3 linked regions of the Lonchura striata genome follow. The protein of the gene in region 1 interacts with the protein of each later gene in a biochemical or structural test. Links are inferred from orthologs where the notes say so. Each region holds a gene or a part of one and is shown on either strand. Other genes may lie near its edges.

Region 1 (7,308 bases):
CCCACTCACACCCCACCCCGCAGCTCTTCTCCCACGCCGTGTCTGAGAACGGGAAGCCCGTGGAGGAGCCGATGGAGATCATCGTGACAGTGACGGACCAGAATGACAACAAGCCCCAGTTCACACAGGAGGTGTTCAGGGGCTCTGTGCCAGAGGGAGCTCTGCCAGGTAGGACCCCGGGCCTTGGGGAAGCTCTGCATCCCACCAGCCGTATTCCTTGGGCACAGCCTCGGCACTGTGCCCCCCAGCATCCCACTTACCTGCACACCCACATCCCCAGGCACCTCCATCATGCAGGTGACAGCCACGGATGCGGACGATGCAGTGGAGACCTACAATGGTGTCATTGCCTACTCCATCCTCAGCCAGGAGCCACGGGAGCCCCATCCCCAAATGTTCACTGTCAACCGGGCCACTGGCACCCTCAGCGTGATTGCCAGCGGCCTCGACCGGGAGGTGGGCTCTGCAGCACTGTGGGGCAGGGTCCCAGCCCCAAGCAGGGACTGACACAGTGTCTGTCTGTCTGTCTGTCTGTCTGTCCACCACAGCGTGTGCGGGAGTACACACTGACCGTGCAGGCAGCTGACCTGGATGGTGAGGGACTGACCACCACAGCGCTGGCTGTCATCGAGATCGCCGACGTCAATGACAATGCCCCCGAGTTTGACCCCAAAATGGTAATGTGGGCACCCCCACTGGTGTGATTCTCCTGGTGCCCGCTGGGCCGTGGTGCTGATGATGCCCCTCACCTGCAGTACGAGGCGGCCGTGCCGGAGAACGCGGCCGGGCAGGAGGTGGCCCGGCTGGCTGTCACCGACCTGGACGAGCCCGGCACGCCGGCGTGGCGAGCCGTCTACTCCATCCTGCGCGGCAACGACGGGGGTGCCTTTGCCATCACCACCGATCCCGCCACCAACGAGGGCATCCTCCGCACTGCCAAGGTCTTTGTCATCCCATGTCCCCCATGCTGCCCACGGAGAGTCCTGCCTGTCCCACTGTCACTGCCGGTGTCTCCCCCTCTGCCAGGGTCTGGACTATGAGGCCAAGCAGCAGTTCGTGCTCCACGTGGCAGTGGCCAACGAGGTCCCCTTCGTCGTGAAGCTGCCGATGGCCACTGCTACGGTGACTGTCACTGTAGAGGATGTCAATGAGGCCCCGGAGTTCGTGCCACCCGTGCAGCTGGCCACGGTGTCAGAGGATGTGCCCCCGGGGCAGACCCTCACAGCCTGCATGGCCCAGGACCCTGACAAGGCACAGGGCCAGACGATCAAGTGAGCGGGAACAGGGTTGGAGTGGAGGTTTGGGGGATCTCTGCTGCCCCTCGCCCTAGCACCAGCTCCCTGTGCCCCCCAGGTACCTGGTGGGGCACGACCCGGCGGGCTGGCTGGCCGTGCACCCTGAGAATGGCCTGGTGACCGCACGGGACCACCTGGACCGCGAGTCCCCCTTCGTCAAGAACAGCACCTACATAGCTGTGCTGCTGGCCGTGGATGATGGTGAGGGACATGAAAGGGCCCTTGTTCCCCCTCCCGCGTGAGGAACACGTGCTGCCATCACCAGGAAACACATCCCAACTCCAGCCTGGCCCCACCCTGCCCGGGGAACCCCAGCTCCCTGAGGATCCTGGGTTTGGGACTGCCCCTTCCAGCATCACTCCTTGCTGTTCCCACCCTTGCCCACAGCGGCTCTGTCCCTGGGAAAGCCTTGGTTTTGAGGCTCCTCCTGTCCCCATGCCTGCTTAGTCACCCATGTCCCCATGAGAGCCCTGGGTTTGGGATCCCCCCTCCAGAACTGTCCCCACCAGGCTCACCACCGGCCACGGGCACGGGCACGCTACTCCTCACCCTGCTCGATGTGAACGACAACGGCCCCGAGGCGGAGCCACGGGACATCACAGTCTGCCAGCGCAGTCCCCAGCCCCAGCTCCTCACCGTCACCGACCGGGACCTGCCCCCCAACACCGGCCCCTTCCGCGCCGAGCTCACCCACGGCTCGGGGGACAGCTGGGCTGTGGAGGTGGGGGACACAGGTATTGCAGGGGGGCTGAACATACTGTGGGGGTCCTCGGCAGAGGCAGCTGTGCCACGGCCGCATTCCTGGTGCGTTGTCCGTGAGCCCCCAATCCCACGCAGGTGACACAGTGACACTGCAGCTGGTGGCACCGCTGGAGCCAGACACCTACAGTGTGTACCTGCGGCTGCTGGACCAGCCGGGCAGAGCCCAAGTGACCATTGTCACCGCACGGGTCTGCGCCTGTGAGGGGCAGGCACAGGGCTGTCCCCAGAGGTCCCAGCCTGTCACCGCCCTGCCCTTCGTCCTCGCCACCCTGGGCGCGCTGCTGGCCCTGCTGCGTGAGTGGAGATCCTGGGGCTCCTGGGGCTGCGGGGATACCCCAGCTCTGGGCACAGAGGGGGACACATGTCCCTCCTGATGGCACTCTGCCCCTCAGTCATCCTGCTGCTGCTGCTGCTCTTCATGAGGAGGAGGAAGGTGACAAAGGAGCCGCTGCTGCTGCCTGAAGATGACACAAGGGACAACATCTTCTACTACGGGGAGGAAGGTGGCGGCGAGGAGGACCAGGTGGGTGTGGGGGTCAGGGACCTGGTGACAGCGTGAGCAACCTGACTGTGCCCCTCTCCATGTGTGTGTGTCCCCAGAACTATGACCTGCGGCAGCTGCACCGGGGGCTGGACGCCCGGCCCGAGGTGATCCGCAATGATGTGGCCCCCCCGCTCATGGCGGCCCCCCAGTACCGGCCTCGCCCCGCCAACCCCGACGAGATCGGGAACTTCATCGACGAGGTGAGTCCTGCCCCGGGAGCCTCGGGGGTGACACGTCCCTGCCTCACCGGCGCAGGGGACACAGGTGCTGAGCCCTCTGTTCCCCCAGAACCTGAAGGCGGCCGACACGGACCCCACGGCCCCCCCCTACGACTCGCTGCTGGTGTTCGACTACGAGGGCAGCGGCTCGGAGGCCACCTCGCTCAGCTCCCTCAACTCCTCCGCCTCCGACGGCGACCAGGACTACGACTACCTCAACGACTGGGGCGGCCGCTTCCGCAAGCTGGCCGAGCTCTACGGCGGCGGCGAGGAGGACGATTAGGGACCCCCAGCCTGCCTCTGCCCCCGCCTTATTGCTGCTTCTGTGCCTTGGGGGTTCCCCCTGCCGTGCCCCCTCCCCACCCCAGCGCAGCCCCCTCACCTCCTCGCCTGCATTTTTGTGGTTATTATCTATTTTTTAAGGTATGGAATGATGGCGTGTGATGCTGCAGACAAGGGGATGGGAGCCGGGTCAGTTTTAATAAAGGATTTGGTTTTTTTAGATGTTTCAGGGTCTGTGTCACTTTGTGCCCTGGAGGTCGGTGCTGCCCCTAGCCCAGCAATGACCCCGCTCCAGCCCTGTCCTCCCTTGCCCACTGCAGTGTGGAACCTCTGGCACAGCTGCAGCGTCATGCATCACTGGCCATGCAGGGCCAGTGCCCGTGCCCCCCGTCCTGGGGTGTCTTCGTCCCCAGGGGGTGTTGATGGGTATGGGCAGTGCACTGACTGCCAATCTGTCCATGGGAGTGACACTGGTGGCATTGGGCATTGCTGGTGCTAAATCTCTCCTGGCCTGGGCAGACACAGCCCTGCTGCTACCCCAACCCCCTGAGATGACCATGGGTGCTAGCATGGGTGGGCACAGCAGCCTCTGGCCTTGGCAGGACCCTAAGCTCTGAGGGTCTCCCACTGGCTCCAGGATCAGGTCCTGACACAGGATGGGGGTCCCCTTCCCCAGCTTTGGGGATGGAGGGGTATAGGGGAAGTCAGGGACTGCAGCATCCTGAGGGGCCCTTCCTGCCCGAGGGGTCCCTGGGTACGATGTTTGTCCCCTGCTGCAGAGCTGGGATCTGGGGCCGTGGCATGGGGGCACCCTGGGGTACTCCTGGCTCCTGTCACCCACCAACACCCCCTGCTCCCACTACCCTGGACGGGAGAGGCATGGAAAGCACGAGAGCTGTGTGGCTGGGGCTGGGAATATCAGAGGCTCGAGGAACAGCGGGTACCTGGGACGGGCAGAGCACCAGGCGTGTAGAGGGTACCGGGGGCTGGTGGGGTACTGGGGGTACCACGGTACCGGGGACCGTGGGAGAGAACCGCACCGGTACCGTGGGGGGTTCCCGGGTACCGGGCGTCATAGGTACCGGGAATACGGGGGTGCGGGCGGGGAGGGACCGCCTCCCGTCGGGGCGGGACGGGGCGGTTCTCGGCGGGGCCGACACCTGCGAGGAGGGATCGGGAGGGGACCGGACGCACCTGCGACTCCGCGGCGGCAGCGCCCGATCCCTCCGGCACCAACCGGCACCGGCTATGGGGCGGCGGGCGGGCTGCTCCGTCCCTCTCTGCCTCCTCTTGCTCCTGCTCCAGGTGAGCCACGGAATGGGGCGGCAGGACCCCGCCTAGGACCCCGCCGAGACCCTGCCCGGGGCAGCGGGACCTTGCTCGGGACCCTGCCCGGTGCTAACGAATCTCTCCGGGCAGAGCGGGCAGCGGCTGTGCCAGCGAGCAGCGTCGTGCCAGCCCGGCTTCGCCGCCGAGACCTTCACCCTGACGGTGCCGCGGGACGGCGTGGCGGCGGGACGGGCACTGGGACGGGGTAAGGACACGGGGACAACCGGGTGTGGGGACAGGGTGGCTGTGGGATGAGGACGGGACTATGGGTACAGGGGGGTGTGTGGGACAGGGACGGCCAGTGGGGGACATAAAGCCGTGTCTCCGTGCCCGAGTGGTGCTGGCGCGGCCACGGGGATGGGGCCGTGGGGACAGGGCTGTGGCAGCGGGGACAGTGCCATGACGGTGGGGACAGGCTCGCTGCGGTGGCAGGTGGCATGGGGGACAGAGCCTGGTGTGTCCACACGCAGCGGAGGGGCCACACTGCTGGTCCCAGCGCAGGCAGCCGTCGGGGGTCCTGGCACGGCGGGACGGTGCCGTGGCGCGGGGGCCGCGGCAGCCGCTCCCCGGGGCGCGCCGGCGCGGGCGGCGCTGACTCAGGCACCGCAGACCTGTCGGGGCCGGCAGCCTGGGGTGTGGGGCACGCAGGCGCCTGCCCTGCCCCGTGCCTCGCCTGGCACCCGGGGTTCACCATGGTGAGCCCCGCTTTGGACCCACTGTGTAGGCCGCCAGGCCAGCTCTTGGCATGGGGATGGGCACCAGGATGGGCTCCTGGGCTTTTGGGGATGTTGGTGTCCCACTGTGTTGGCATTAATGCCCTGTTCTGGCATGGCAAGGGGGCACTGGGGACTCATGTGCTGGGGATCTGCTGCCACTCTGGGACCCCCAAAAGAGACTCCGTGGGCTCTGGGGCTGTGTGCAGTGGTTGTCACCATCTGCACCAGTTCGTGGCTGAGACTGGTGCTGGCACTGCAGTGTGTGTGCCAGGGTGGCCAGGTGGGCAAAGGGCTGAGGGGTAATGAGCACCCAGTGCTGCACCCAGGCTCCCAAACATCCTCAGCTCTGTAATGGCTTCGCCTGGGAGAGCCAGGAATTGGACCCTGCCCCATACCCCAGGAATTGTGTTTGTTTGCCTTGTGGTTGATCATTAACGTGCACAAGTTGATGTCCATCAGGGCTGGGCCTGATACGAGGGGGGGGGGTGACGGGCAGCCCTGTGACTTCCCTGCAGCACCGAGACCTGCTGGAAATCCTCTGTCCCAGCACCAGCACTTTCAGCTTTGGGTTCCGGGCACAGTCAGGGCGTGGGAGGAAGGAAGGGACCGTCTGCCCTTGAGGCCTGTGTGGCACCCAGTGATTCACAGCTGTGCCACAGTAATGCCACCTGTGGGGTGGCTGAGCCTGGTGGATGCCAGGCCGTGCTGGGCCATGGAGCACCCCAAAGCTTGCAGCCAGGCTGACGATCCGGCCTGTAATTAGCTTGATGAGTTGAGAACTGTGTTTTCCCTCCAACAGGCCCAGACAAGCCCCACGCGGCGCCTGGGCGGCGAACAGCAACACCTGCGTGGGGGCTGCGGCACCGCCAGGGCCCTGCTCCGTGGGTCGGGGGGCTCTGGGGTGGTGGGCATGTGGTGGGGGCTGGGATAGTGCCCCTCAATCCTGGGTGGAGAAACCTCGAGAGTCTGAAGTCACAGCGAAACTGGGGTGACGTCAGTGGGATGTGTCACCCGCAGCACCTTCACCCTGGGGTGAGCCCCCTGCCCTGTACAGCTGCATGTGTGCAACACACGGGGTGGTGGCACTGCAGGGATGGATGGGGACACCCTGCTCTGCCTGTGCCCAGTCCCACTGAGACCTCACAGGACATGAGGTGGCTTTGGGGGCCTGCCCTGATCCCCTGTGTGGGGTCTCAGCCCCACACCCAGTTTGGCAGCCTGGTTGTACCAGTCTGGTTGTCCCAGTGTTCTGTAGATGGTAGTGGGGGGGGGATCCCCCTTGAAGTGGGGGGATCCCCCTGAAGGACTCTCTTGAGTTCTTCTTTTCTCCCACCCCCATCATTCCCAGGAGAGGGCCCCCCTTCCACCCCCCCAGCTCGCAGCCCCGGGGAGAGGAGGGCTGGGGCCAGCCCTCCTTCAGCCGAGCTGGAAAAACAGGTTGTGCACAGCCAGGTGGGAAGGGGGGGAGTTGGAGGGGGAGAGCGGGAAGGGGGGAGCGGGTTCTGAGCACCCTCCTGGAAGCCAGTGCGAGCTGAGCACTGAGCGCTCACTGCACGCAGTGTGGGGCTGGGGGCCCCGTGCCGCCCCTCCTGCACCCACCGGGCCCCGAGCCAGGCCGAGCGCTGGGGCTGCGCCCGCGGCTGCCTCTCCTTCCCCGCCTGCCCCGGCACGCTCCTGCCCAGCCGGCCGCACCGGCTCCGCCCGCCCTGCCCGGGGGTCCTGCCGCGGGGCTGGCATCGCACCGGCGGCTCCTCCCGGGCCGGCTCGGGGGCACCGTGGTGGGCAGGGGGGCAGCGATCGTACCCCCTTGCATCCCGCAGCCAGCCCGCATTCCTGGGCTGCTCGTGGGCTGATGTAACCCACGGCTCCGTTCCCTTCCCTCCGTCCGGCGGTGCCTCCTTGCCCACCCCGGCACGGCCCCTGCCGGGGCGCGGGTCAGCCGGGGCGGCGGTGCCAGGGCTGGCTCCGGGGCCTGGGTGCCGCTGGCTCGCACAACCCTCTCCCAGACAAAGGCTGTTTGTTCGGGAGCGCGGCCCGGCTCATGTGATGCCCGCTGACCGCTGCCTCGTGGCGGCCCAGCTCTGCCGCGCCCAGCCGGGTGCCCAGCTAGTGACATCGGGCCCCGCCTGCCCGCTGAACCTGAGATTGGGGGTCCCAGAGCT
Region 2 (7,246 bases), on another chromosome or scaffold:
ACACCCCACGGGACTAAGTCTGACCACCCACCCCAGCCCTGGGTGATGCTGGGTGCCCACACACCCTGTCTAGGTGGGGAAGCAGCACCTGAACTCAGAGGTAGACTTGTACTGCTGTAACAGACACTACATTTCTTTTTAACTTCTGTTAATTAGAAGCCAGTATAATTTAAACCTTCAAAACCAGCACAAGCGTCGGTACAGATGCTGCAATTAAAGTTCTGCAAGTTCTCTGTGCAGAGGCTCTGCTCCCCCAGCCTGCGGAGCGGGGCCAAGGGCAGCTTCGCTCCCAGGCTCTGCCATCTGCGAGCGGCAGCGCGCCCGGCAAAAGCGCCGTCTGAAATCCCGGAGATCTGGAAGTGTGATAAAAAGCCAAATCCCATCAAGCGCTCCCACAGCAAACCACAGTCTTGAAGGGAAGCCGTCCTCCCGGGAACGGGCTGAGCTGCAGGAGCCGTGCAGCTGTACCGCAGCGCCTGCCCGGCCGCGAGGGCTGAGTAAGGGTTTCAGGTGGGGGAAAACAAAGGGGTGAGTTAATGGGATTAGGGCAGCGCCGAATGATACACTGAAATGCGGCACCAGGAGCAGCGGGGACATCCCCCACGGCCCCCGGCTGCAGCCCGGCCACGACTCACCCGCGCTGCCCCGGAGGCTCCAGGCACGGTGGCACAAACTACTCGCACACCCAGCCCCAGGAGACCCCTCCCAGCAGCCCAGCTCGTCCCCCCCACCCCCTCCCGGGGATGAACGCGCTTCCTGGAGCCGGCAAGGACACGGCACACCGCCCAGACAATAGGCTGTAACGCCATTGTCTGAGGGAGGGCCCCGCACGGCCGCCCCACCTTTCCCCAGCGCCCTGAGCCCCGGGGACCCACGTCTGTCCCTGCTCCCGCACAGCGGCCACAGTGCAAGGAGGGAGCACAATCCTCAGCCACCGCTGCCAGGAGCCCTGTGCGTCCCCGTCCTGATGGCCAACTTGTTTAAGCCAAATTAGCAGTAAAAAATGGGTTTTTCATGACACCTCATGGAAATCCTCCAAAACAATGAGCGATAACAGGCTTCAGATGTGCAAACGCAGTCCCAGTGGGTGCCCTGCACCCTTCCAGCCAGCTCCGACACCGACAAGGACACAGAAATGGACCCCTATAATTTTCTCATCCCTGTTTCCGGCTGGGCCGGACACTCCGGGAGCGGAGCCTGGAGCAGCCCCCGCGGACACTGCACCTGCCCTGGATGCGGCTGAGAGCCCGGAGCAAACGCCCCCGGCAGCGCTGCAGCCCCATCCCCGCGGCAGCTGGCAGGGACACGCTGCGCCCCCGGCTCCCCACCAGCGCATCCAGACGGACACCAGAGCCGCTCGGGGCTGGCACCAGCGCCAAAACCAGCACGACGTGGGCTGGAGCAGGAGGTGAAGCGACTGAGGGGCTGTGTCACAGGGTGTCCCCAGCCCCCACCACCCTTCTGGGATGGGGAAGTTGACAAGAGAACGTGAAACCAGACACAGGACTCACCCAGGCACCCCAACAGCGTTACAGGGAAGCTGGGGGTGCAGGAACTTCCAGCCTGGCTGGAGAGGGTGAAGGCTGATGCCCTCACACTCGGGCAGGCACAACAGTGGCACAGGTCACCCTGTCCCGTCTCCAGCAGCAGCCGTGCCCTCCTGAGCGTTCACGCTCCTCTCCCGGCATACATCGCCCCACGTTGCTCATATGGCAGCCCACGTTTGCCTTCTCCGGGCAACTCCCAGCAACATTTCAGCATTATCCTTTCATCTGTGCTATAAACCTGATTAATTAAGCTAATGCTAATCACTCAGCTAACGCAATTAGAGCGCTCTCTCCTCTCTAAACATCAGACAAACAGCCAAGTTTCACTCCCCCCGCCGTTTCGCGGTGCGGATGTCCCTGGCAGGAGCTCAGCTGGGACCCCCGTGAGCCCTGTGCCCAGCACCCCTCACCCGCGGGGGGCTGTCTTGGGTGATGTCAGGTCACCCTGACGCCCTGTGAGCCCTGTGCCCAGCACCCCTCACCCGCGGGGGGCTGTCTTGGGTGATGTCAGGTCACCCGCATCCCTCTCAGCCCCCAGACATCCCACGCCAGGTGGCGGGCGGAGGGCAGCCCCGGCCCCGCGGGTAGGGACGGCGATGTCGAAGCGATCCGAGGCGGCCTCGAGAGCAGCACGCGGTGTCCCCAGGTGTGACTCTGGGCACGGAGCAGTCCAGTTTGCGTAAGAGCCCCACAGCACCGGGCGAGCGCCGTGCCAGGGCCTCGCCCGCTCCGCGGCAGCTCCGGGCGGGGCCGGGGACAGAGTCACCGCCTCGCACAGGAGCGCGGATCCGCGACTCCCAAACTGGATCCCGCGGCACCGGGAAGGGGCCGGGACAGCCCAGCTGGGCATGGGGGAAGCCCCGGGGACCCGCCCTGCCGGTGCCGCGCAGGACCGGCCGAGCTCACGGGCAGCACACGGCCAGCTCTGCCCCAGACGACGGCAGCGGGGCCGAGCCGGGACGCCCGGTGCTGCCCGGCCCGGACCCAACTCCTCCCCGCCCCGAGAGCGGCCGCTCCCCAGCGCCGCACGGCGGAGTCCCCGCCGCTCCGGTGCAGCCCAGCCCGGAACGACGGACGGCGACGGACGGCCGCGGACCTGGCGCCGTCCCGGCCGCCCCAACTCTGCTCACCGGACCGCTCCCCGCCGCGACCTCCGCCAGCCCGGTCCTGCGGACCCGGAGTGACCTCTGCCCGGTTCAGCCGGCCTATTGCCGGTCACCGCCGCTCCCCCACGCCCGACGCGCCCTGACTCGGCTCCACTCACCGTCGCTCCCCATGCCCAGTGCCCCGCCCCGCTCACCGTCGCTCCCCGTGCCCGACGCGCCAGTCCCGCTCACCGCCGCTGCCCGTGCCCGGCGCCCCGGTCCCACTCACCGTCCTTCCGTGCGCGATGCCTCGGCCCCACTCACCGTCCCTCCCCGCCCGTGCCCGGTGCCCCGGCCCCGCTCACCGTCGCTCTCCGCCGCCCGCCCGCTCCTGCCCGAACAAAAGGCGAGCGGCGCCCCGCGCGCCGCCCCGCCCGCCGCAGGCCCCGCCCCCGCGCCGCCCCTCCGCCATTGGATGCTCCGCACGCCCATCAAGCACTGGGCCCGCCGGGCCCCGCCCCCGCCGGACGTGTTTATTCTTTCCCCATTGGCGGGGGCGCGGACGCCCCGCCCCCTGCCCGCAGCTGATTGGACAGCGGGGCGGGGTGGGCGGGGCGAGACCACGAGGGGACCACCTGGGTGACGTCAGTGGGCGCGGCCAGGTGGGGCCGGGACCCGCCCCTGAGGGCCGGGGGCGCGGGGACCCCCGGGCCGTGCTGGGATCCCCGGATCCTGCGGGGACCCCCGGCCCGTGCTGGGACCCCCGGGCCGTGCTGGGAACCCCCGAGCCGTGCGGGAACCCCCGAGCCGTGCGGAGACCCCCGAGCCGTGCGGGGACCCCCGGGCCGCGCGGCGACCCCCGGCCCATACTGGGACCCCCGGGCTGTGCGGGGACCCCCGAGGCGCGCGGGGAACCCCGGCCCATGCTGGGACCCCCGGGCTGTGCGGATACCCCGGGGCCGTGCGGGGACCCCTCGAGGCAGGAGCGCGGGGGCGACAGGAAGCGGCGTTCGGGAAGGGCTCGGGGCTGCTGGCGCCGCGTCAGCCCGGTCCCCGCCGGACCGGTCCAGCCGGGTGCTGCTGCCGCGTCCCGGGCTAAGCCGCCGTCACCCAGTGCCCGAGTCATCCATTGGACACGTCCCAGCCCAGCTCAGGACCCCCAGGTGTGGGGGAGCAGGAGGATTCTGCCCCGGTGAGGATGAGGAGGGAGCATCGTGCACCCCCGCTGCCTGCACGGTTCCCTGCTACGTCTGGCAGCGAGCGCTGCCAGGCGGGGATTCTCAGCTCCGGAGGAAGGTGAGAGACAGAGCTTCCACCGCCTCTGCAAGAAGAAGGGAATTCATGGCTGTGCGCTGAGCGGGAGATCCGGAGCGCAGCGAGAGAGCTCTCGGCACAGGGAAATGGGCACACGGCACGGCACGGCAGGGCACAGCGCAGGGGAGGCGGCAGCAGACATCTCATCCACGCTCCCCTCTTGGTCAAGGTCGAGGGGACCGCGATGATGCCTTCACCAAGTAACCAACCCATCGCTCCCTGCAGCCCTTCTCCTGCAGCCCAGGACTCCTCCGTGTCCCCCGTCAGTCACCCCGCATCCCATCTCTGCGCCCCTGGCACTGCCCGCAGCTCGGCAGGACAGGACGGTGGCCGTGCCCACGGTCACAGCCACGCCAGGTCACAGCGGCACTGCCAGAGATGCTGCTCCTGCCTGGCACTCCCGGGGTGATGGATGCAGCCATCCAGCACATCCTGCACATCCAGCGGCTCAGGTGGGAGCAGGGAAGGGACCCCGGGCACTCCAGCTCGCAGCTGCAAGGGGCTTTGCCCGGTGCCAGTAGATCAGTGGGAGCAGGGAGCTGTTTTCTCCTCGTGAGTGTGGGGCTGGGGAGGGTGCCCGGGTGTGTGTCAGAGCAGGGCGGAGGCCCCGTGGGCCCAGTGCCACCCTCGCCCAGCTGTTGGGAAGATCCGCAGCCTTTGTCCCCTAGGCTGCGGTGCCAGCCCTGGGCTGAGCGCTCTCCGCTCCTCCGTTCGCGAGTGCCGCTGGCCACACCCCACCCGGCTGGCACTCCCCTCCCGAGGTGGCTGTGCCCCATCGGTGACAAACCCAGCTCCTCCCAAGTGACAGCACAGCCCTGTGAGGTGCAGGGTGCAGTGGGTGCTCCCTCCCAGCACTGCCTCCCCGAGCCCTGAGCTTTGCTCACGGGTCTGGGGGCTCAGCCCCTGCCCCCCGCCCAGTGCCCTGCAGAGCTGGAAAAGCCTCGGTGAACAGGGGCTCCGGGCAGGGCAGGGTGGGGTGCTGGCAGCCTCTTGCCACTCTCTTCCTTCCATTCCCATCCCTTCCCTCCCCCGGGGCCAACGCTGTGATTCAGCCTCTCAGTTTCAGTCCTCGTAGCCAATTTCCACGCCGAGCAACCCGGCAGGGAGGAGTGAGCGGCCACACACTGCCCGATGCCTCGTGCCTAGGACTGGCACAGGTTTGTCAGCACCAACAGAGACCCCCAGTGTGCCCCCAAACACCCTGATGCAGGCAGGAGGAAGTCATCCCACCCTGCCATGCCCACCTTCATCGGGGGATCCAGGCTGCACCCTCTGATCCAGGAGCAGTGTCACAGTGTTGTACCCCAAAACAACCATCAGCTCATGGATATGACATCCCAAAGACCCATATGGGGTAGGACATGCTGCCCTCCAGCCCCCTGCAGCTCCCCCCCCACCTCACCTGACAGACTCAATGAGGGGGTCATGGATCCCATTTGGGGTCCCCCTCATGGGACCCAGAGCCTCACAGGAGCCTGGCTGCTGTCATGGCCTCCATGGGCCCCCAGCCCCACAAGTTCCCCCAGGTCATCTCTGGGGACATCCAGGCCTGAACCGATCTCTTCCTCTCTCACAGCAGAGCCTCTCCTACCCTGGTCTCCTGGATCCCATGGCAGCAGCATATGGAAAGTGGAGGCAGCCGTGAAAAGACCAGTCTGGATTTTATTAAAAGTTCAGCACCAGTAAATATATAAAAAGAGCAACGGTGCAGGAGGGAAAATCTTAAATTAATTGAGCTTAAGGCTAGAGAGGGCTGGTGTGGCAAAAATTCAAGGCACAGGCAGGGCATGGGCACCACAGCCTCACCAGGCTGCAGCCCCATGGTGACACGGGGACATGGCACACTGGGAGCCCCCTGTAGCACCAGGCCAGGGAGTCCAAGGGGACCTGGGCTATGGGAGCTGTCAGATTGCCTGGGAGGCTGGAGAACAGGAGCCTCAGGGAGCCTCAGGAAGGGGCAGGATCAGCTCCAGCAGCATTGTGCATTGCTCCCGAAGTAGGGGCAGCCCTTCAAGCCCCTCAAGAAAAGATAGGGATAAATTCTGGTGCATCATCCAGAGATTCTGGGGAGCAGCTGAGGGACACAGAAAACCCCAGTGCTGTGGGGCATCACTGCTGGTCAGGGCTCCTGCGGAATTGGGGGTGGGGGTAGCCCAGGCTCCTGGGCAGGCAGGGACATTCAGGGATGCTGGTGTTCCACTGATGGGAATTGGGCTGTGCCAGGACAGCAGACATCCAGGTGGCAAAAGCAGTCCTGCCGCAGGATGCAAGGCAGGATTGGCCCCTCCCCATGAGTTTGAGTTTCTACCGGTGGCTGGGAGGAGCTTGAAGCCCGATGTCCCCAAGATGGCATCACAGAGTCACCACCATCCAGCTCAGTTGGTGCTGCTGGCTCCCCCTTCACCTGGCTCATCATAGGATCTCTGCAAACAAGGAGAGTTTGGTGGCACCAGGGGTGTGGGCAGCAGACCCCCCGACCCTACAGCACAACTCCCAGCCTTTGTATCAGGAACCTTGGTCATCTTTGTCTCCTTTGGTCTTGGGTTCCTGCCACCACTCTGCGAAGAAGCCCTCCTCGTAGTCACCTTCGCCCTCGAATTCGCCATCGGAGGGCAGGTCCAGCACCTCTGGCCCCTCACCACCATCCACCTCCATCTGCAGCACAGGAGGGCAGGAGGAGGCAGAGGAGCTCGGCAGCCTCATCTGCAGTCTCTGCTCCAGGACTGCTTTGGGGGGGTCAGACCCCCCCCATCTGCGAAAGGTCCCTGCAGCACCCACACACACCACCCAGCCCCCCCAAAAGCACCATCTGCATCCCGTGTCAGGTACCTCATCGTCATCATCCTGCAGGTACTGCCGGGCGAATTCCAGCATCTCCTTCTGGGCGGCCGTCTGGCTGTGGTAGCGCACGGCTTCCTGGGCACAGGGGCAGAGGGGCTGGGTCAGCTCCTCTCTGGGCAGTGCAGGGCCACAGGACGGGGCTGGGGGGTCCTCACCGGCCGTGGCTCGAAGTCCTCCTCGCGCAGGCGCCAGCGCTCGCGGTGGAAGCGGTAGTAGACCAGGTTCTGCTGCATCACGGTGTCGCCAGGGTCGAAGAGCATGTAGCTGGAGACGCTGCGCACCGCGTCCTGCACGTCGTTCACTGCGGGGACAGCGCCAGCTGACACGGGGGTGACACCCCTCCCAGGGCCACAGCAACCCAGGGTGCCCCAGGGCACAGCCCCCCGCTCCCACCGGCACTCACGCTTGTAGTAAGCGAACTGCAGGTAGTGGTACATGGTGGCCACAAACTTCTCCACG
Region 3 (8,055 bases), on another chromosome or scaffold:
CCGCCCACAGGACCACATCGCAGAAGACGTCGGCTCGCTGCTGCTGCTGGTAGAGGTGCTGGAAGGCCGTGCGCAGCAGGCGGGTGCTGCGGTACAGCAGCTGCCGGCTGGCTGCGGGAGAGCCCATGGCCGTCCTGCAGGGACAGACAGCGTCGTGCTGGGGACTCGGGGACCAGCGCCTGCCTGCTCTCTTCGCGCTATCCCAATGGCTTGTGGCTGGGATGTGGCAGGGCCGGGGTCTGCAGAGGCCCGTGTGCCCGTGCCCCAGTGCTGTCCCCCCGGTGGCCGCCGGACCCCGCCCCGGCCCCGCCGCCCCGGCCTCCCGCGTCCGCCAGGGGGCGCCACAGCCGGCGCCCTGAGGCCGCGTACCTGCCGAGGGGCGCTCGGGCCGCCGCCGAATCGCCCCGGGGGTGAGTCCGGAGCTCGCAGCGCGGCCGCGGGCAGCGGGGACCGGGACCGGGGCCCTGCGCGCCCTCGCCTCGCGCCCGCGGCCTCACGTGGTGCGGCGGCCTCGCCCCACCCATTGTGGCGGCGCGGCGGGAGCGGCCCGGCCGGGGCGGCGCCGCGAGCGCTGGGAGCGGGGCTCGGCGCCGCCCCGCCTGCCGTGCCCGACCCCTTCCGCAGCCCTCCCCAGCCGCCGTGCCCTGCTCTGCCCAGGGCCGGAGGCACCGCTCGTGTTTTGTGGTGCGATGGCGGCCGCGCTGAGGGCAGCCTGGGTGCCGCCGCCGCCTGTGGTGGTGCTCGTCCCTCCCTCATCACCATCGGGCCCGGACACGACAGCCAGGCCAGGGCCGCTTATGGTCACTGCAGCGGTGGCACTGAAGAACACGGGGTTGATAATGGGGAAGGTGCTGTCTGGAGCATCTGCTGTCTGGAGCAGCTCTGGGTTCAAGGGCTCCACCTTGGTTTGGATTTTCAGACTCCACTGGGCCCTCGCGTGTGAGGAAGGGTGTTTTTGTGCCCCAGGCTCCTGAAGGGGAGGATTGATGGTGCTTTGGAAGGCATCCTTCAAGCAAGCGATGCTGCCCACTTAGTTTGAAAGTTTTTTGCCACGTTATAAAGCACCCATTGTACAAAAATCTGCGTCAGTCACTCCACACACATGAGCAAAGATTATAATCCATCCCCATTGCCTGGAGACAGTGGCTGTTCCTACAAACAACCCAAGTGGGTGGAAGTTTCAGGAGCTGCAGAAGGACAGGAGCCTGAATGTCGCCGTAGAGTTTAAATCTACAAAGTCTTCAAATGTGGTCTTGCAGAGGGATTTTCATCTGGTTGGACATGTGAGGGTGGTTTTTCTTCTCCGTTTTTGCAAAATGGACACAAACCAATGAAGAAAGTGGCTGGTGCCAGGCCTGAGCCAGAGGCCTTTGAGGTCACTGGCAGTCTGTCACTGCCCCCGGGTGGCTTGGAGCCCAGCCCGGAATACCAAGGGATGCAGAAAACAAGTAATTTCATATCAAAGTGCTATCATATGCTCATAAAAATAGAAGGAAAATAGAGATGTTTCCTCCCCCACCCCTTGCAATCCTGTGGAATTACAATGATCGGAGCTGTCGCCTGGAAAGCCTGACCTCACTGGGAGTGCATGGATCCAGATGCCATGGAGTGCCCTGTGACAGTGAGTGGGACCACAGTGGGACAGGGGGCAGCCACATTCCAGCAAGCAGGGGGGTTAATGTTTCAGCAGTAACCCTGTTAGGGAAAGCCCCCACTCCACTGTACCCCGACAGCTGCAGCGCTGCTCCCCCCCCACCACCAGTGGCCTCGTCTGCCCTTAAAATTCACTGATACTCAACTGGCAACCGAGCAACCACTCCCTTTGCAGGTACACAAAAGAGGCCTTTTATGAGTGTCATTTTTACTAGTATCCAAAGCCAAATAACACAGAGTAGAAAAATCACCAGCAGCCTTTTGTCCCATTCACCCCTCTCTCTAAACTCCATTTCTTCTACCAGATTTTCCTGGGGGAAAGTATGGGATTGCAGTTTTCACTGTAAATCGTGTCAGACCCTGAATCTTTCTGTCTATCTTCAGGTGATCAGAGGCTGCAGACCTGCAGCACAGCTGGTGTCCTTGGCCCTTGGCTGGTCGAAACCCTGGGTGACTCAGAGGGTTGGGAATGTCCAGCAGGGTTTATCTCCTGGTGGGATTGACTGCAAAGTGAGGGCAAGGCCTAAACTGTGCTGCCTGTTCAGGCTCCCTCTGCTATTGATAGGAGGCCTCCTCACAGGACAAATCTTGTCTTTACAGTGTCTCCCAAGCCCTCAAATCAGCAGTTTCTGAGCCAGTTTCTGGAAGAGAAAGGAAATTCCCTTCTCAATTCTCATAGCCGGGATCATTTTCAGCTATGTCGCCTTTGCCTGTGTTGCAGGGCAGGACCTGCCTCAGAGTCCCTGCTCTCCAGAGGGACCTTGGACCCTGCACAGTGGCAAAAGGGATGGATGAAGGCAAGATCTGAGGCTGGGAAAGGCACTGAGAAAGGAGAGAAGAAAGAGACTGTAAGTGGCAATAGATCCTTGTGGGGCTGGGGGGGAAGGAGATTTCTGTGCATGCTTAAGTCACGTGTACATTTGGGCAAAAGATGTACCAGGAATTTGACAGTCTGAGGGCATGACAGGATGCAGCTAGGCTGAAAGCAGGATGGTCTGTGGGCATGAGAGAGCCCAAGCACAGTGGGAGGCTGGTGGGAAGCAGGGACAACACCAAGCACATGGAGCTGCACTGGGAAGGTGGCAGGGTGGGCTCTAGGCTTGCTCTGTGGCCTGGCATCTTCCAATTGGAGCTGGAAAGCTCCTTCAGGCCCGCTTCCCTCCTTCTCCCCCCTCCTGGTGCCGCACTTCCCCTCGTGCAAGGAGGGCCAACAACCCGTCAGGATTCCCATAGGAAAGGGGCTGCGGAAGGGCCTTGTTATCCTGACCTGGAACAATGCAGGCCATCCCCTGAGCTGCCTGCGTGGACCTGGAGCCAGCAGCCTCCCCTTCCTCCTGCCCTCGGCCGCCGAGAGCACGGGCCTGCCTTGTAAACAAATTGTCTTGCTCTGTTCCGGTGGCAGCTGCACTTCTGGGCGTCTCATCTGGGAAAGGCATCAGCTGTAGGATGAAAGGGGATGTGCAAGATGTTATTACAAGCAATTACTGTAAAAGAGGGGAAACTTTCCCATGCTAGGAACACATCTCTCTTCTTCCCAGAACGCAGTGAGACAGGCTCCTCTGCCCCAGGAGTTATAGTCAAACAAGAGCATGATCCTCCAGCTGAAGCTGAAGGATCAGGGTCCAGCCTGCCTTCCAAAGTAAGCATGTGCTACCGGGTGTTCCAGCTGTCAGGGCAGGGCTGGGGCAGGGCCAGCCTGGATAAGCCCTGTGCAGCTCCATCCTGGGGACAGGAGGCACTTGCCCAGCGTCAGAGTCGTGTTTGTAAGAGCACCTTTAGCCTTTGAAGAGGGCATAGGGAGGGTGTGACTGGGCCAGGACCATGCATGAACCTCCGAGCCCCTGCTGCCCCAACTGCCCGGGCAGAGGCCTCAAAGGACATGTCATTGGTGCTGGGATGGAGGAGCAAGGTGTTTCTGATGCCTTTTCCCTGAGGGAGAGCTGCCCCTTGGGAGGTGTCAGGTGAACGAGGACTCTTTCTCCCAGAAGGAATTTTGAGAGCACCTCTTCTCCTTCCTTGTCTCTGAGACTCAGGGAATACACTCACCTTCCTCCTTGTGGTGGGCCAAGAGGAAGGGAGGGCAGATGGGGATTATTTCTAATCTGGGAGCTGTTCTCACTCAAGGTACAAGGCTGAGAGGGGATCCAGTTTGCTCATTTTGGGTGACAACAAGGATGAAGGGATGCAGAGAGAAGGTCTCACTCACTTGCTGTGGAATGGAGAGACCCTCTCCTCCCTGGGACATGTGGACCAGCTCTCCATCTGCTCCCAGCTGGTTGGATGGTCTATTTTACAAACCAAACATCAGGGAGGGTTTGGGGGTCCCCATGCCCCGATCATCTCCCTAGATGTTCCCTTTTTATGCATCAAATCCCATTTCACCTCATTACACCTTTCTGCACCACCTTTAGCAATCCGTACAGAGCTCTGGATCACCTCCTTCACACCTCCATCCGCAGGCTGTTATCACATCTTCCCTGCCTCCCAGTGCATATTTACCCCAGGAATCACCTGTCCCACCCAAAACCGTCCCCAGCTCTTTTCCTCTATCATTATCTCACTGAGAGTTAGGCAGACAGGAGCAGGCAGGGTTCTCCCCGGTCAGACACCTTCGGGGGACTTGGACTTCTCCCAGGTGAGCAGCCCGGAACACGCCGTGGGGCTGGCCTGGCGTTACTTCCTTGCCTCTCCGGGAAGGGGAAACCCTCCACCACAGAGGATGAGCTGTGGCTGGAGTCCCACCAGCACCTGCTCCCTAGGGCCAGAGGGAGGGAACGGGTTAACCTCCCGGGGACGTAGTGCAGCCCATCCTGCCAGGGAATCTCCCTTCTGGGCAAGTTCTGCCCTGTACAGGGTAAGCTGGTTTCCCGCCGCTCCAGAGGGACCGGCCGGAGGAGGCTCTACTCCGGGGGTGTCCCAGAGAGCCCCTTGGTGCACCACGCCGGGGCAGACCCGGACCTTGAGGAGGAGCTGGTCTGCTCCCGGGCGCCATGGTCCCGAGGTGGAGCCCATCTGAGGGCAGACCCCGGTTTGGAGAACATGCACCGCTGGGGCACATCCCACCAGGATGGAGCACGCGGAGAACACACCGTCCTCCGGCCAGACCCCACCGGGACATCCGCCCCGGCCCCGCCCCGGTCCCGCCCGTCCTTGTCGCGGCTGCTGACGCCGGGGGCGGCCCCGCGCCCGCCCCGCCCCGCCCGCCGGACCAACTTCCATTTTAGGTGCGGGAGCGGCGCGGGCGCACGGCGGGACCCGACCGACGCCGCGCTCCGCACACACCGCCCCGCGCCGCCCGGCGGGACCCGGCCTGACCCGCGCCGCCGCCGCACCGGGCGCCCGCCTCGCCTCTCGCCTCGCCGCCGCGGCGGGACCCGCGGAGCGGAGCGGGCCGGGCGGCCGTGCCGCCGCCGCCGCGGGGCGGGACCGCCTGCCCTCGCCCGTCCGCCGAGGAGCCCGGCCACGGTGAGTCCCGATCGCGGCGTCCGTGCCGCCGCTCAGGGGGCAGAGGGGAGGGAGCAGAGCCGGTGCGGGCCGGCGCCTGCCGGGCGCCGCACGCCCCCGCGGCGGCGGCGGGGCGGGACGGGCCGGTCCTCGCCCGGCGGGGCCGGATCGGGGCTTGGCCGCGCTCTCCTGCCGGGGCCGGTAGGTACCGGGTCCCTAGAGTCCCGTCCTGCCCGGGAACCCGTGCCAAGCGCGGCCGCGCCCCGCGGGACCGGTGGGGCGGCGGGGCCCGGCCCTGGCGGGGGCGCTGGCGGCGCCCGGGAGCCCGCGGGGAGCGACACAAAGGCGGCTGGGCCGGGCGGCCGCCCCGCTCCCCGCCCGGGGCCGCCGCCGCTCGCCCTGCCCGGAACAAAGGCGGCCCGTGTGCCAGCTTCCCGCGGCCGGCACCGGCGGGCCCCCCCGCCCTCGGGCGGGGAGCGGGGCTGGGTCCCTCCGCGGGGTCTCGGCCGAGGCACGGTCCGGCTTTCCGACTCCGCGTCCCGCCGCCCAGTTCGGCTCTGCCGCTCTCCGCAGGGGCTCCTCGCCCGGTGTGTCGTTCGCCTGCGCCTTTGTTCTGCCGGGGAAGGGGCCGGTGTGCCCGGGGGGGTCAAGTGTGCGGGTGGGGCTGCGGCTCCTCCTAATGGAATCGCTCTGAGCTTCAAAACAGCCCGACAGGCCCGTCCACCCGAGCTCACAAGCGACTCCGAAGTGCTTTCCGAGAGGCAGGACGGTGCCGGAGCCGACCTCGGGGGTCTGCTCAGCCGCCGGTTCGTTCTGAGTCTGCCTTGGCCACACTGTCATTTAGCGACAGCCCGGCTGCCTCCCCCTGTCCAGCGCTCGTCCTGCCTTCTCCGGTGACCGTCCCCCGGCATCGCTTTCCCCTGCACGGTGGGCGTTCCTATGCCTCTTCGGAGCGTTGCAGAGAAGAGACTTTGCTTGGGGTGAGAAAGTTTGCGTGCCTCTCAGTCATGAGGGCTGCTGGCATCTGCGAGGCACCCGCGCGCTGGCAGAAGGGAGGTGGGGCACCTCCGTTATGGCCCTGGGCTTTGGGCGAGGGAGCCTGGACAACAAAGCTTCCTCTGATTGTTGGAGAGAGCAGTGGACCTCCTGAAGTGCCTCCCTCTCTCCCCAAGGGCTTGGTGCCCTTGCCCTTCCAGGGAGCCAGTGATGATGGGGCTCACAGGGTGTTATTTTGGGGGCCTGGGCTGTCCTGTGACCAGCTGGAGCTGGAGGCTCCTCTCCCAGGCTTCTTCCCAGCTCCCGGTGAGCCAGAGAAGAACATCTGGGCACATGGAGTCATGTGATTGTATTGAACTGCAGCTACCTGTAGTTTCACTGATGCCCTCCCTGCACTGCACAGATGCTTTTGGACTTGACTGTCCAGGTCTTTGGTGTGGAGAATTGAGCTTGTCCTCAGCTTTGCAGGTGTGCTGGGATCCTGTAAGCCATGCTCGCAGCTTCTGTTTGGAGTTTCAGCTTCCATGCCCTCTCTCCTGGATGTGGCAAGGTAGGGTCAACAGCTGGCTGGTGACTCCCAGGCTCCTGCCTCTGCTGGAGCTCCTGCCAATGGAGCCGGGGCCATGTCCAGCAGGTCAGTGGCAAGAGCCTAGGCAGGAAAATTGTTAGTTGTCTTCCCCAGAGTTACCTTGTCTGCTCCATCCTGCTCCCAGGGCTTTCTTGAGGCAGGTTCTTCACCTGCTGGTGTTTGCTCATGCTCTGTCAACAGCATAAAGGCAGTTTTTAAGGATTTGTTCTTCCACTTGGTTGAGTTTGGCTGGACTCTTGAGTGTGCCGTTGACTGTCCTTTGCCGTGTGCAGCATTGCTGGAATCTCGTGCGGAACCTTCCTGGAAGCAGTGGGAGGATGAAAGCGCTCGCTCAGTGGAGCATGCAGGCTTGCCTGGACTGCCACAGAGGGCTGAGCCTCCTCCCTTCCGACGCAGAGGTCAGGGCCTGATCGTTGTGGTTGAGGAGCCCTTGAGGCCATCCCTTCCCTAAAGATGGGCTGGGAGTCAGATGAATGGTCCAGCCCAGACCGCAGAGCCGGTGTCTGTCCCTGGATTGCCTCTCATTTCTTCCCTCCTCCGGCCTCTGGCATGGAGATAAGACCTTGGCCCATTGTATCTGCAGTGGAGGTGGCTTTAGGACACCCAGAAAATAATAGTGTGGCTTGGATCATGCCTGGAAGGCTGTTGGCTTCTCAAAATAACTTACCAGTGTCTATGGCCTTAGGGGGAAAGTGCTGGGTAAAGCTCTTGGTTTCTCTTCCCAACAACCCCTCAAAACTGTCTCTCATTTACTGCTGGCAAGGACAGAGCCCTTTCCCAAGACTGTGGTGATGCTGTCTCCAGGGAAGTACAGAGCTCTCCTGGCTCTGAACATTTGTGTCTCTGCAGCACTGTGGCTGTGTCCTGTCCCTGCTTTGCTGACGGGGAGAAGCGGAACCTGGAGCTGGTTTGGGTCAATAGGAGACAACAGGTGTTGCCTGGATTTGATGACAAAACCCGAACCTGGGCAATTCAGGCACTCCTCTGTGTGTGACACAGGGCTTGGCCAGCGGAGGAGGTTGTCCTCTGGCACAGAGTTCAGGAATGTGCCTCAGTGCTAGGCTGTCAGAAAGGGGTTGGATTGACGGGCTCTCGACCAAAGTCCTCGATTTCTCTGAGGTGGCCACAACCTTCTCTTTGCTTTATATAATCCAAGGAGGCTTTTTGGGGGAGGAAATGGCTTCTTAGAGCAAGTTCTTGTCCTGGAAACCCCCAGCAGCAGGCTGATGAGTCTGTCCAGCTCCCGCCTGTCTTGTGCTTGTTGCTAATCCGCCTTCCTTCCCTCCAGGAAGGCTGCTGGTGTTGGTTTGGCACAGGAGTGCCTGTCCCTCTGCCCTGTCCAGTGACTGCTGCATGTGGGGCCTGACCTCTGG

What was found.
Region 2: the proteins of cadherin-1 (region 1) and JUP form a complex in vitro, tested with the Homo sapiens proteins (2 studies listed by BioGRID). The link is inferred for Lonchura striata from reciprocal best matches to the Homo sapiens genes CDH1 and JUP.
Region 3: the proteins of cadherin-1 (region 1) and CTNND1 form a complex in vitro, tested with the Homo sapiens proteins (5 studies listed by BioGRID and IntAct, with this or other methods). The link is inferred for Lonchura striata from reciprocal best matches to the Homo sapiens genes CDH1 and CTNND1.

Annotation. Positions count from the first base shown.
Region 1 is NC_134615.1:22,960,235-22,967,542, forward strand, and holds the start of cadherin-1, read left to right. Parts: upstream 1-4,264; 5' UTR 4,265-4,349; coding exon 4,350-4,406; intron 4,407-4,520; coding exon 4,521-4,635; intron 4,636-7,308. Other genes in the region: B-cadherin-like, read left to right, coding at 24-168, 281-456, 549-677, 756-941, 1,027-1,271, 1,354-1,496, 1,805-2,029, 2,133-2,351 and 3 more.
Region 2 is NC_134627.1:6,608,715-6,615,960, reverse strand, and holds the start of JUP (junction plakoglobin), read right to left. Parts: upstream 3,065-7,246; 5' UTR 2,998-3,064; exon of another isoform or gene 2,922-2,997; intron 2,784-2,921; exon of another isoform or gene 2,678-2,783; intron 1-2,677. Other genes in the region: P3H4 (endoplasmic reticulum protein SC65), read right to left, coding at 6,359-6,369, 6,460-6,601, 6,776-6,862, 6,943-7,088, 7,191-7,246. UniProt on the Homo sapiens protein: Common junctional plaque protein. The membrane-associated plaques are architectural elements in an important strategic position to influence the arrangement and function of both the cytoskeleton and the cells within the tissue.
Region 3 is NC_134608.1:53,102,763-53,110,817, reverse strand, and holds the start of CTNND1 (catenin delta-1), read left to right. Parts: upstream 1-5,052; 5' UTR 5,053-5,118; intron 5,119-8,055. UniProt on the Homo sapiens protein: Key regulator of cell-cell adhesion that associates with and regulates the cell adhesion properties of both C-, E- and N-cadherins, being critical for their surface stability.